3 linked regions of the Cricetulus griseus genome follow. The protein of the gene in region 2 purifies or fractionates together with the protein of the main gene of each other region. This does not show direct contact. Links are inferred from orthologs where the notes say so. Each region holds a gene or a part of one and is shown on either strand. Other genes may lie near its edges.

Region 1 (3,354 bases), on a different chromosome or scaffold from region 2:
GTAGACAGGAACTTCAATATAAAGCACTAGTAAGTCACAAATACTCTGAGAACTTACAACTTAAATAATTTAGACACATGACACACTCACACCACCTCCCCCCCACATACCACATACACACATGTTCTTTTTAAAGAACTTAGTCATGTAAGTTGTCCTCTGACTCCTACATGTGCTCCATTACATACACACGCACACACATGCGCCTGTAAGGAACCCCAGGAATGCACTCATCCACCACCCTAGATTGGGGGAACCCTGTGATGCTGCAGGGGTCACAGTGGAATGAGGGTATGTCTGGCCACACAGCAACTGTGTGTAAACAGCAGGCCATCTCCACTCTCGGCTATGGCCTAGGGACAGCAGTGTAGACAGGCTGGCTGTTCACAGGGCTGTCCCTCTCAGAAAACTGATAATCCACACTGCCAAAGTCCAGTGTTCTTGGCAGTTCACATGTGCACACCAGACACTGAACAAGGCAGGGCTGGCCATTCTCAGTCAGTGCTGGAAGGATGGCAGCACTACCACAAGTCACCAGCACAGCCTCACCCTTTTCAGCGATGACTACATCATCACTGTCACTTGGCTTTTTCTCCTCTTCCAAAACTTCTGGCTTCTCAGGGGCTTTCTCCTCCTCTACCCCTTGTTCCAGAGACGCCTTGGTCTGTGGTTTACTTATGTCAGTTGTCTTAGGACCTAGGTCTTCATATTTTTTCTGTGGAAGTTTAACAAAAGCTGTTTTTAATAAAAAGCAAAGCACTATTTTTATTTTATTTTATTTTTTTTAGTGCACAGACACTAAGTATTGAAATGGACAACACTCGTCCTCTTCATCGTAACATTTATCTGCCATTTTTTTTTTTTTTTTTGCACTGAGAAGGTATATAACAATCTCTCAGAAAATCTTACAGGAAACTGAATTCACTGCATTTACACTGAATTCATTACACAGTTTGAGTCTGGAAAACAAGCAAGTCTGAAAAACAAAGTTGAAAAAAGTGTATTTTCTTTACCTTTACTTTTCTTGGCCAACAAAATGAAGTAAGTAACGCTATGGGCAACCCAGCCATCACAAGGTACATGAGCCAGAGCCATGGTCGCTCCTCTGCCGCTGTCGTTAGCTGTTTGAGTACACCGGGCTGCGAGAGAAATCAGCACAGAACACTTACCAACTCCCACTGGGAAATACAGATTATATACCTTTTATACCATGCACGCGCACACACACACACACACACACACAATACACACTCCACACATACACACACCCAATACATACCACACACACGCACTACACACACTACACACACCACACATACCCACTCCACACTCCATATACACTACACACCCCCTATACACATTATACTCACACATACCCCATACACAATACACACACACACACACACCAAAAATGAAAGAAAAAAAGACTCCTTTGATAATATGTTGATAATATGTTCTGTTATTTAAAGAACTTCCTAATAAAGTCACTCAGGGGCTATTGTTTTTTCCTTTTTCTTTCTATATAAACAACTTCATAAGTGGCCCTTGTGCATGAATTTTATTTTAGTAACATAAAATCTGAGCCACAACATACTTTACGTGTAACAATCAAGTGTGTAAATGGGGTGGGTGAATGGCTTGGCAGGTCCAGTGCTGGCACCCACATAAAGTGCTGGGTGCAGTGGCCTGCATGTGGCCTGCATCTATAATCCCAGAGCCCCATAGTGCAGTGAGAAGTGGGGATAGTTTCTGGAGGCTCACAGGCCAGCTAACCCGGAGTGCACAGCACTGCAGTTGAGACAAACAATAATGTTGAATTTAGAGTTCTTGGTATTTCTCTAAATGAAAATATTTGAAATGCATATGGATTATTGTTAAAACTTAGGCTTGCACTGCCAACATGAAAACACAAAGAAATATTTCTTATTGCTATAAATCACAAGTAGGCTTTGGAACTCATTAAAGCTACCATAATTTAATGAATGAAATGAGATCATAGCATCTTCATGCTGAGTTCACTATATAGTCTTCAGAAAAGCTGAATAGTCTGTCTGTAAAATTCACTCTAGTCCATCTCCCTGGCATTTAGGAATTATTGCATCTATGCACACCCCACAGCCAGGACTGGGGTCCCATGACTCCCACCCATAGTCACTATCATACCTCATTAGCATTTGCCACGATTATCTTCAGTCCCCAGCCATCTGCAGCCCAGCGATCTGCTACCTCCTTTTCTGAACAGATGATAAAATTATCGAAGTAGATGTTGGGAGTCATGGACCAAAGCTCTAAGCCCAGAGCACTGAAAGAAGTCAGAAGGAATGGGTGGTCATCCTCAAAATAATCTGGGTTAGGGATTTTCTGAGGGCTCCAGATTCCCTGCAAGGAACAACAAATGAACAAGATTTTAGGCAAAGTGATGCCATTAAACAATTAAAAAGGAACATAAGAACCGTTTCTAAGGGACAGGGAGTTGGGGAGACGGATCAGTGGGTAAAGTGCTTGCCCCTGTGGGAGGTCTGAGGGCCTGAGTTCAGTCTCCGGCACCACTTAGAAAGCTGGTACTGTAAAACAGACCTCCATACCAGACCCGAGGAGATGGGGACACAGCTACCCTGGGATTTGCTGGCAGCCAGTCTACTTCAATCAGAAAACTTCAGGTTCAATGATAGGCACTGTCCCCAAAACAATAAGATGAAGAAGGACAATCTCTCTCTCTCACATGAGCTCATGCATGTGTGTGTGTGTGTGTGTGTGTGTGTGTGTGTGTGTGTGTGTGTGTGTGTGTGCACACGCGCGCGCGCGCGCGCACACACACACACTTTGTAATAAACGCTTTGAAGAAAGACTACAGTGAAGAATTAGTATAATCACATTTGAATAGTGCAAGAGACATCAAAGGCACACTAGAGGGTTAAAATGACTAATGAAAGCAAAGCCAGATCACCCCCAAATGTCTGACAGCCTAAAAATTCAGAATTTTGACAATGTTAAATAAATAAGGAGTTCATGAAACACAGACACTAATTATTGAAATGGACAATACAAGTTCTCTCCATGAGAACTCATTCATTTACTTTTGAAATAGAACTTTGTTCCAAAGTAATCATCAACTGACTATTGGGAAGAAGAATATCTTAAATGACAACAGGGTTTCTCTACATAGCCTGGCTGTTTGGATGTCCTGAAACTCACTATGTGACAGATAAGGCTGGCGTAGAACTCACAGAGGTCCACCTTTTTCTGCCTCTCAAGTGCTGGGATTAGACGTGTGCCACCACCACCTGCTTGCTACATGTTCTCATTTTCACATTGATACTATTTTTTTTTTTTTTTAAGACCAGTAGTGTTTGG
Region 2 (4,271 bases):
TAAAAACACTTTCTCCTCATCATATATTCCCAATGCATAGATAAGAGTAAAGGAGGAGTGGGGCTTGCTAAGATCACACAGTTATTGGCACAGTGAAACACAAATCTGGGGCTGAATCTCAAGGGGTTTGCAGCTTCAGAATTCACTCTGTTTTTGCATGGCCCAAGAGTTGAGAATAGGGTTTTTTATTTATTTTTTAAAAACTAAAGATTTAAATTTTAAAATATATTTATTTCTACTTTATGTGTATGTGTGCTTTGCTTACATGGATGTTGGTGCAGCCTGTGTGTGCACTGACCACAGTCCAGAAATGGGCATCAGATCCCCTGGAACCGGAATTACAGATGACTGTGAGCTGCAATGTGGAAGCTGGGAACCAGACTAGACTGCAAGAGCAGCCAGTGCTCTTACCCATTGATCCTTTTCTCTGGGCCCTAGTTTTTGTTGTTCTTGTTAGGCTTTTTTGTTTGTTTGTTTTTTACATTTTTTTAAGTTTGCAAAGAGAAAAAATAGAGAGATTAAAATGTAATACATATGACCCTTAAAATCAACAATCTTTATTATCTAGCCCTTTTAAAAATGCCAATCCCTGGTCTAAAGCCCTGTACCATCAACTATGTAAAACCATATCTCTTAATAGGAAAGAGATTATCTGTGATGAGTTCTTTAACAGTGTATGGCTCATTTTGCATTTAACCAGAGTTCATATGTCATTTCATGCTTTTTACGATTTGTCTTTCCACTCCTTAAAGGTTTTTACATGTCTATAGATTCTGTACATATTATGTAATAATAAACTAGTTAGTAAATGTTTGTTGAAGATGGTAAACAAGTCACACACATTGTCACACAGAGAAATTAGATAAATGCATGACCAATTAGCCTTAAGAGGCACTACTACAAATGAAATACAATTTTTGGCCAGGTGGTGGTGGTGGCAGCGGCGGTAGTACACGCCTTTAATCCCAACACTCGGGAGGCAGAGGCAGGGGGATCTCTGTGAGTTTGAGGCCAGCCTGAGTTGACCTGAGTTAACACAGAAAAGCCCTGTCTCAAAAAACCAAAAAAGAAAGAAAAAAGAAAAGAAATCTATTTTGACATCCGAGTAAACAGGGTTACTCCTCATGCTTAGAATTCATTACCTTACAAATGAAAAACAAGCCTGAGCCCATGCATTTTCTTAAGGCACACAACTACCTTGAGATGCATGCACATTCTAGAAGTCTGGATTAACTGGAAGGGGTGGGGGCTGCACGGGAAAATGCCTTTTAGTGCCAAACCTTCATATACTTATCTTCAACTCTTAGAAACAAACCTTAACAATTCAAGACTGTACCAAATGAAGATAATCTTCACACACGTACTACAGACAGGATTGTTTGTCACCCCTCATCTCTTCAGCCATACCCTCCTAAGCAGATAGGAGACCATCAGCAATATCTTCTTTTCCCCCTCACAAGACTAGAGCATGGCTCAAAATCCTTGTAAACCCATGGTTTGATCTCTCTCTCTCTCTCTCTCTCTCTCTCTCTCTCTCTCTCTCTCTCTCTCTCTCTCTGTGTGTGTGTGTGTGTGTGTGTGTGTGTGTGTCATCTGCACCTCTCACGCACAGATAAATAACCTCAAAAGAACCTCAAAAGAAAGCACACAGAGTCAAGAACCATAATCATTTACAAAGCAATTGGTCAAGAACTTCATGCCAACAGCAAATCACCCCTAGGCATAACCGTGAAGATTCTTAATTACTATTCGGCTGAACTGTTCCCATCATACAGTATGCTGCTGGAAGAACCTTAACTCTGACTCGTCCTTACTTTCATACACTTGAGTCTTAAGGGTCAACCCTAGGTACTACGGGTATAATAAAATAAATTAGGACGACATTTAAAATGTCCTGAGCTTTCTGTAGCCTACTTCACGTTTTTATTTTGCGTGGGTTCCACCGGAGTAAGGTTATCATTTGCATCTGGAAAGGAGACATAGCAAAAGCTGGGTAATGAGGAAAGGTCGACTCCGGTTCCAAATGAATGCCAGATGCTGCCAGTACACAGCTACTACTGCAGCTTCAACGAACCTTAAACAAACTGACACCCCAGACACATAGATTGCAAGGATGTCTTCCCCTCCCCCTGGCCCAAGCCCCATCCCAGCCACCGCACCCGACTCCCTTTCCCATCCTCAACACCCACCCGTACTGGTCCCCAGCTTAGTAGGCAGAGAAGGGGCAGAGGGGTGCTGGAGAAAAAGGGGGTGGGGTCGGAGGCAAAAGCAGCTCAGAGAGCCAGAGAAAATGGGGAGGCGAAGCTGAGAACGAGGTAGGAAAAAATGGGGGGCGTAGCAGAAATAAAGGGGGTGAGGCAGAGAAACGGAGGACGGTTTAAGGGGAGGCGGAAAATGGAACGAGACAGAGAGCATAATGTAGGCCGAGCAGGACTAGGGCAGGAGAAGCGGCCGGCAGGCAGAGAAAGGGAAAGGGAAAGGGGTAGTGCCAGCGAGGGGACAGGGGTCCCAGACACTTGCCATAAATCATAGCAAGGCCGGTTTCGTGCAGGAAGCGGGCCCGGCGGTGCTTGAAGAGCCAGATCGTCAGAATGGTGAGGGTGAGCAGCAGGATGAAGATGAGCAGGTTGGCGCTGTCCTGCCGGTGGCTCTCCTCAGCCTGCTTCTCGGACACTATCTCCTCGTCCATGGCTCTCGTCGTTCCCCCGGAGCCGTCCGAAGCCCCGGCCCAGCCAAAGACACTCACTGCGAAGAGCAACAAGAGGGGCCGCTGAAGCGGACGCGCCCGGGGCCGGCCGACGCCACGGAGAACAGGCGCCTGCCGCCAGCCGCGCCGAGCCCCAGCCATGTCTCCCCCCACCCCACCCACCCACCCCCCACCCCCCACCCCCGCCCCTCTCCTTTCCTTCTCTCCTCCCCGCAGCCGCCGCCGCCGCTCGCCCGCTCGCCCGCCCGCCCGCGGTCGGACCACTCCCCGAGGGCTCACGGGAAAGGGGCGGGGCTGCAGCCGAGCCGGCGGTGCAGGCACCGCCCCGCGCGGCCTCCACTTTTAAAGGGCCCGCTGCGGCTCCCGCCCTCGCAGCCGCATTCCTTTTGCCCATCTGCCCACCTAGGGACGCACCTAGAGCTTGAGCTCTGTCCGAGACATCGAATCTAACCCACTCGTTCCCACTGAAGGAACACGTAATCACATGCAGAAGGCGCTCCCTTTACTTTGATCCTGACCGCGGGGAAAGGGAGAGGAATTGATCTTCATAACCCGTCTGGATATTGTCCCCCAGTGTGTCTTAACAGGATAAGAAGTTGTCCCTTGGGAGTGGCCTCAATCTCCAGCTCTGTAATTTAAATCGGAATCCCCGTATTCTGCCATTATTGCGGGGGGGACAATAACAGTGTAAGAGTTTATAAAAGAATTCACACAAAGGCATGGAACATGAGTGTATCTGTATAATTAATTGGCTTTTCTTTAGCAGTCAAAGCTTGATGTATATCTACTGCAACAGGAACGAGCACATAGCTTCAACCTTGGAAAGAATAGTCAAGCACGTTTGTGCTCACATTTCTCTTCACTCAGAAGCACTTCCCTGACTTTGGGGAGAAGTCTTCTGGAGCTGCAGGCTGTTTCCCTCTCTTGTTCTTTTTGATTGCTACTTTCAGTCAAATGTCACCAGTTCTTTCACCTTTGACTCCCTACCTGTCATCTTCACCCCAACTTCACTCCTGAGTAATTTCTGAGTGTTCCTCGGGACCTCACAAGGCTTCATCTCCATAGTTTAGCTGTGTTTGGGAACCTCTCCAAAAAGTCTCCATACTTGCAGCATCACCCAGTTGTTTGGGCTTCTTTTTCTCTATCCTTTCACTTCTGTGTGAAGCAGCTACAAATCTCAAGCCTCGGCCCATCACCAGCCCTTCAGGCCTCTACCTGTTGAGTATATTGGGCATATCCTGTAAAGGAGCATATTCTTTCCCCTGTGAATATATATCCTCCCGCAAAGCCCTCACGACATCATTAGGACCACTGTCAACCCAGCCTTGCCATTTTGTATAAAACATACCATCTGAAAGCTTTTCACCTCAGGGCTGACCATATAGCCCAACAACAGCAACAAGAGGCCCCAGTGTGAATGCCTTTTCACTAACAAACTCTTTAAGCTCTGTCAAGATAGTGAAACTTCAGAAAAACTAAAACAGCTCTAGAATGGTGGTTCTGTCTGACAGGCTGGGAATTTTCCCACCAAGTGCCCATTGGCTGTAGGTCTTCCCAAGAAACC
Region 3 (4,221 bases), on a different chromosome or scaffold from region 2:
GCAGGTGGATCTCTGTGAGTTCGAGACCATCCTGGTCTACAAGAGCTAGTTCCAGGACAACCTCCAAAGTCACAGAGAAACCCTGTCTTGAAAAAACAAAAAAAACTAAAATAAAAATTTAAAAAAACTAAAAGGCCTGGGCTGTAGTATAATCTCAGGTCTAATGCTCTCATAGAAAGATACTGTTTCACTATTAGTACACGGCATTGTTTTCTGTCAAGGCTAATGCACTAGATGAGATAGCTATCCTCTTTGACCTTCACTTAGATGGTAGCTTTTAGGTTAGAGATACAGTGAAGATTTATGCTTCTTCATGACAGCAAATCATCAATTCACTTAATGAAATGTAGTAAGTGACTTTGCCCACTTGTATTCTAACCAGAGCTGTTCTGTTACAGCTGCATATGAGTGTGCATGTGCAAATACATATGAATTTTTAATATGAGTATCTTACATCTCCTTCGAGACATCTGGATTGTGTTAATACCCAGCTAGCATCCCACATCCTTCAGAAGACAGGAAATTAATATTCCTGAGATGAGAGACCAGATGCTGCTGGAGAGGGTGAGGCATCTATGTCTTAATGAGGAGTGACTTTCTACAATGCCATCTGTTGCCCTCAAAGCGAGGCTCAAAGCACCACACACCTGTAGTGTACAGTACTTCTCCAGCTCCTAAAGCATCAGGATTTACCACCAACTGGGAACTACCATGGTATAATCCCAGTGTCTAACTGGTCTAGACGATCACAGGCAGGATATTCAGTCAGCCTCTCTTCCACATAACAATCCCTACAGTCTTCGCTTTAGTGATGTGGTAGACTTTGGGGAGCCCCTTTTGAGAGCCTTACCCTGCCTGGCGAGTGGGGGGGCATGGGTAGGGGCAGGTGGGATGTTGGGGGGAGGGGAGTGAGAGGGAGAAGGGATTGATATGTGAAGCAAGCTTGTTCCTTATTTGAACTAATAAAAGAATAAAATAAAAAATAAAAAAAGAAATCTTTAGACTTAAAGCTTTAATGAAGGGACCTGTCAGTTGGGTGTAAGGGACTAGAATTTCATTGTTTTTAATATCATGTATTATATCCTGTTGAAAATTGTATTTCTGTAAAATATTTTATTTATATATTGTTTATTTCTTAATAAGCATCATTATAATGCAACCGATTTTTTTAAAAAAAACATTACAGGAGTGTATAGGCAATTAAAATGATTAACATTGAAAAATTGACTTCCATAATCTACTAACAATTATCGCAATGTATAAGAAGGATTTATTAGTATCTGTTTGCTTTCCTCTACTATGCTTTGCTTCAAGTCCCAGCTTTGACCATGACTGCTCAGTGGCCACTAGGCAAGACATTTAATCAAGGGTCTCTGGCTTCACTTCACAACATTATGTGGATAAAATTTAAAAATAAACCCTACAAAAGAAAATATGAAATAATATACCAAGTATTGCCATTGTCACTAATTAGTCCAATTACTGCATGGAGAGAAGGGGCCTGGGGTCCTACTCTATTTTGCTGTATCTGCCAATTTCATAGGACCAAAGAGAATGAAGTCTGCGGTAGCACACATACGTGATCCACCGCAAACAACTCCCTTATTGATCTTTTCTAGGCCTTGCTCTCATGCAGACCAGATATTTGTCATAATTCTACTTTTCTACGTTTGTGTTCACTATCAAGCCGTCCTTTCTTCTTGTGGAGCAATAATAAGGAACAAACCCATCTGAAGGTGAGGGTGGATGAAATGGCTGGAGCCACAGCTCTCCAGTTTTCTAACCCTACAGGTGGGACTCATAGTCACTCCGCGGTGAGCACGCAGATGAAGCAGCAGTTCTCAAAGCACAGAGCATAACACTTTTCTCAAGGTGCCATTCCTTAAAAGCCTACTCGTTACAAAAGCTGGAAATGTTCGACTCATGCTAGGGGAAGAAAGGAAAACCCCAGTCACAAGTCTCTGCAGTGTTACTACTGTAGCCGACACAAGGAATTGATTGGGGGTGGTGCCAGCTTTTTAGAGACAGCCACACAGTTGCAGAGCGCTTCTCTGGGCAGAGAAGGCTGCCAGGGCCTTGGCTCTGCTCAAACCGGCTTTCACGCAGCAAAGGGTGAGACACACTGTACCCCAACAATGCCAAGGTGGCCATGGAGGTCTGCAACATGCTGCACACGCTCCCCAAACCCCTCCCTCCACGACAGCGCACGCCCGCGGGGGCCCATTACCATCCTGCAGAATGAGGGTCGGCTGCACTGCCTGCACTCGGAACTGCCTGGCCCTCCAGCCAGGGCTGGGGGCTCGCACCACCTCGCTGTCAGAGAGCCAGGTCACGGTCTCAAAGTTGTCCCCTCGAGCCAGGGCCTCGGCCTCAGCGCGGTGCACAGCCACCTGGTCGAACTGGTAGAGCCCGCCGGAGTGATCGAAGTGCACGTGAGTGGCCACAGCCAGCAGTGGCCGGCGCCCGGCATCCTCCTTAGCCCCGCAGTCCTGCAAGAGGCCGGAGGAGTAGAGGTACTCCGGGAGGCTGCGCAGCCCCAGGCCCGTGTCGATCACCACGTCTTGCTCGGAGCCGCGCACCAGCCAGATGTTGGCGCGGTTGCCTGACTCGTAGAAGCGCTCTTGAATCCAGAAGATGCCATCGCCCAGAGACTTGTGGGCGTACCACTCAAGCGCGGACATGCTGCTGCGCAGGGGTGCGGCCGGGAGAGGTGGGTGTGCCTCCCAGGGGCAGTCCGGACCCAGAGCTGCCGCAGTGTGCGGCGTACTCCACTCAGCCCCGGAGGAGGCGCGAAAGAGGGGCGGGGATGCGGAAGGGAGCGCGGATAGGCCGCGGTGACGCTGCCCAGATCTCCTGCTCCCGGTCCGCACAGCGCAAAGGCTGCACCCCAGGCTGCCGCAGCTTCTGCAGCCGCAGCACCGTGGCAGTAACGCAGGCCGCTGCAGCAGGGCGGAGATATGGGGCGACACTGCCCTGCTCGGGGGTTCTGCTGCAGAGGCTAGGGATGATGCGTGGGAAGCGCCAGGACCGCCCCCGCACGGGCAGCAGGCGCAGCTCACTCACCGCTGGAGCCCAGAGTGAGGCCGAGCCAGTTGGAAGCAGACTACGGCGCCTGCCAAGGGCTAAAAAGCTCGGTGCCGGGGGCGTGGCCTCGCCGGCAGTGGGCGGGGCTCCTAGTGGGCTAGCTGAGCGCGGTGGCCGCGTGCAGGACAGTGATCGCTGCTGGGGAGGTGGAATCCGCGGCTCCTGGCTGGTGCGGCTGCAGGGACCCCGGCCACCTCGGCTGAACAAAGTGCACAAGCCTCGAGACGTTGTGAGCAGGTAACAGGAAGCTGTTCCGAATTGGGTTGGAGTTGAAGAGGGTAGAAGGGAGTTGATGGGGCACGTGGAGAACGTGGTGGACCCGCATCGGGAGCCAAAATTCATCAGACCTTTGGAGTGACTTGGGAGGTAGCCTTACCTCTTCAAAGCCTAATGCTGCCTTCCAAATCCTTTGACGTCTTGGTAGTTAGATCTTCCAGCCCCCTCCTGGGAGTGTTCTTAGTGAGATAGAAGGGAGTTTATGCTCTTGCTGATACTACAGAAGACTTAGCCAATCCGGAGATCCTACAGTTCGTTCACGCACTGGTTTGGCGACAGATTGCTGCTATGGGCATACCATTCCGCTTCTGATTTCTTTACTCTTGGCACCCTGGATTGTGGGGAGAGGAGTTGCTAATAGGATTTTTCTTTAAACAATTCTAAATTTCCGTCATGTTTTGTTCGGTTCTCTGCTCGTTGAGAAAGTTTCCAGAGCTTAACTAAAGAAAGGCGGGGCACTTTGAGGGGGACAGGAAAAGTGGATAATGACTGGGTGTGGCCTACCCAGCCACTAAAATCACCCCCACTGTTAACATCAAATCCCTGTGCTCTCACCCCAAGCCCTAGCTATTGCTGTATCTATTTAGGATTCAGAAATGCCCTTGAGAAGTTGACTAACCGTCAAAAATTAGAGACCCACGGGATAGCATTATAAAGGATAATTAGGAAAATGCTTACTGCAGCATCTCCTAATAGACTTTCCTGGAGGGAGAGGTGTATTCTTCCTCTATTCCTAAAGTCTCTGGTGGGAGTTCGAGCAGGTTACTGCCCCTGTGAGTATTTTGCTAATCTCATCTAAGTACAAGTTATTCAATTATGCAATTGGGATCATTCTTAGCACTAAATGATGTGTGATGAACA

The links.
Region 1: the proteins of Slc9a6 (region 2) and Clgn purify together in Homo sapiens (co-immunoprecipitation; 3 studies listed by BioGRID and IntAct, with this or other methods). This does not show direct contact. The link is inferred for Cricetulus griseus from reciprocal best matches to the Homo sapiens genes SLC9A6 and CLGN.
Region 3: the proteins of Slc9a6 (region 2) and Mblac2 purify together in Homo sapiens (co-immunoprecipitation; 3 studies listed by BioGRID and IntAct, counting the BioPlex papers as one, with this or other methods). This does not show direct contact. The link is inferred for Cricetulus griseus from reciprocal best matches to the Homo sapiens genes SLC9A6 and MBLAC2.

The regions. Positions count from the first base shown.
Region 1 is NC_048596.1:159,058,846-159,062,199, reverse strand, and holds part of Clgn (calmegin), read right to left. Parts: intron 2,380-3,354; coding exon 2,164-2,379; intron 1,140-2,163; coding exon 1,014-1,139; intron 716-1,013; coding exon 550-715; intron 1-549. UniProt on the Homo sapiens protein: Functions during spermatogenesis as a chaperone for a range of client proteins that are important for sperm adhesion onto the egg zona pellucida and for subsequent penetration of the zona pellucida.
Region 2 is NC_048604.1:15,841,458-15,845,728, forward strand, and holds the start of Slc9a6 (sodium/hydrogen exchanger 6), read right to left. Parts: upstream 2,849-4,271; coding exon 2,521-2,848; intron 1-2,520. UniProt on the Homo sapiens protein: Endosomal Na(+), K(+)/H(+) antiporter. Mediates the electroneutral exchange of endosomal luminal H(+) for a cytosolic Na(+) or K(+).
Region 3 is NC_048595.1:302,160,822-302,165,042, reverse strand, and holds the start of Mblac2 (metallo-beta-lactamase domain-containing protein 2), read right to left. Parts: upstream 2,810-4,221; 5' UTR 2,682-2,809; coding exon 2,228-2,681; intron 1-2,227. UniProt on the Homo sapiens protein: Acyl-CoA thioesterases are a group of enzymes that catalyze the hydrolysis of acyl-CoAs to the free fatty acid and coenzyme A (CoASH), providing the potential to regulate intracellular levels of acyl-CoAs, free fatty acids and CoASH.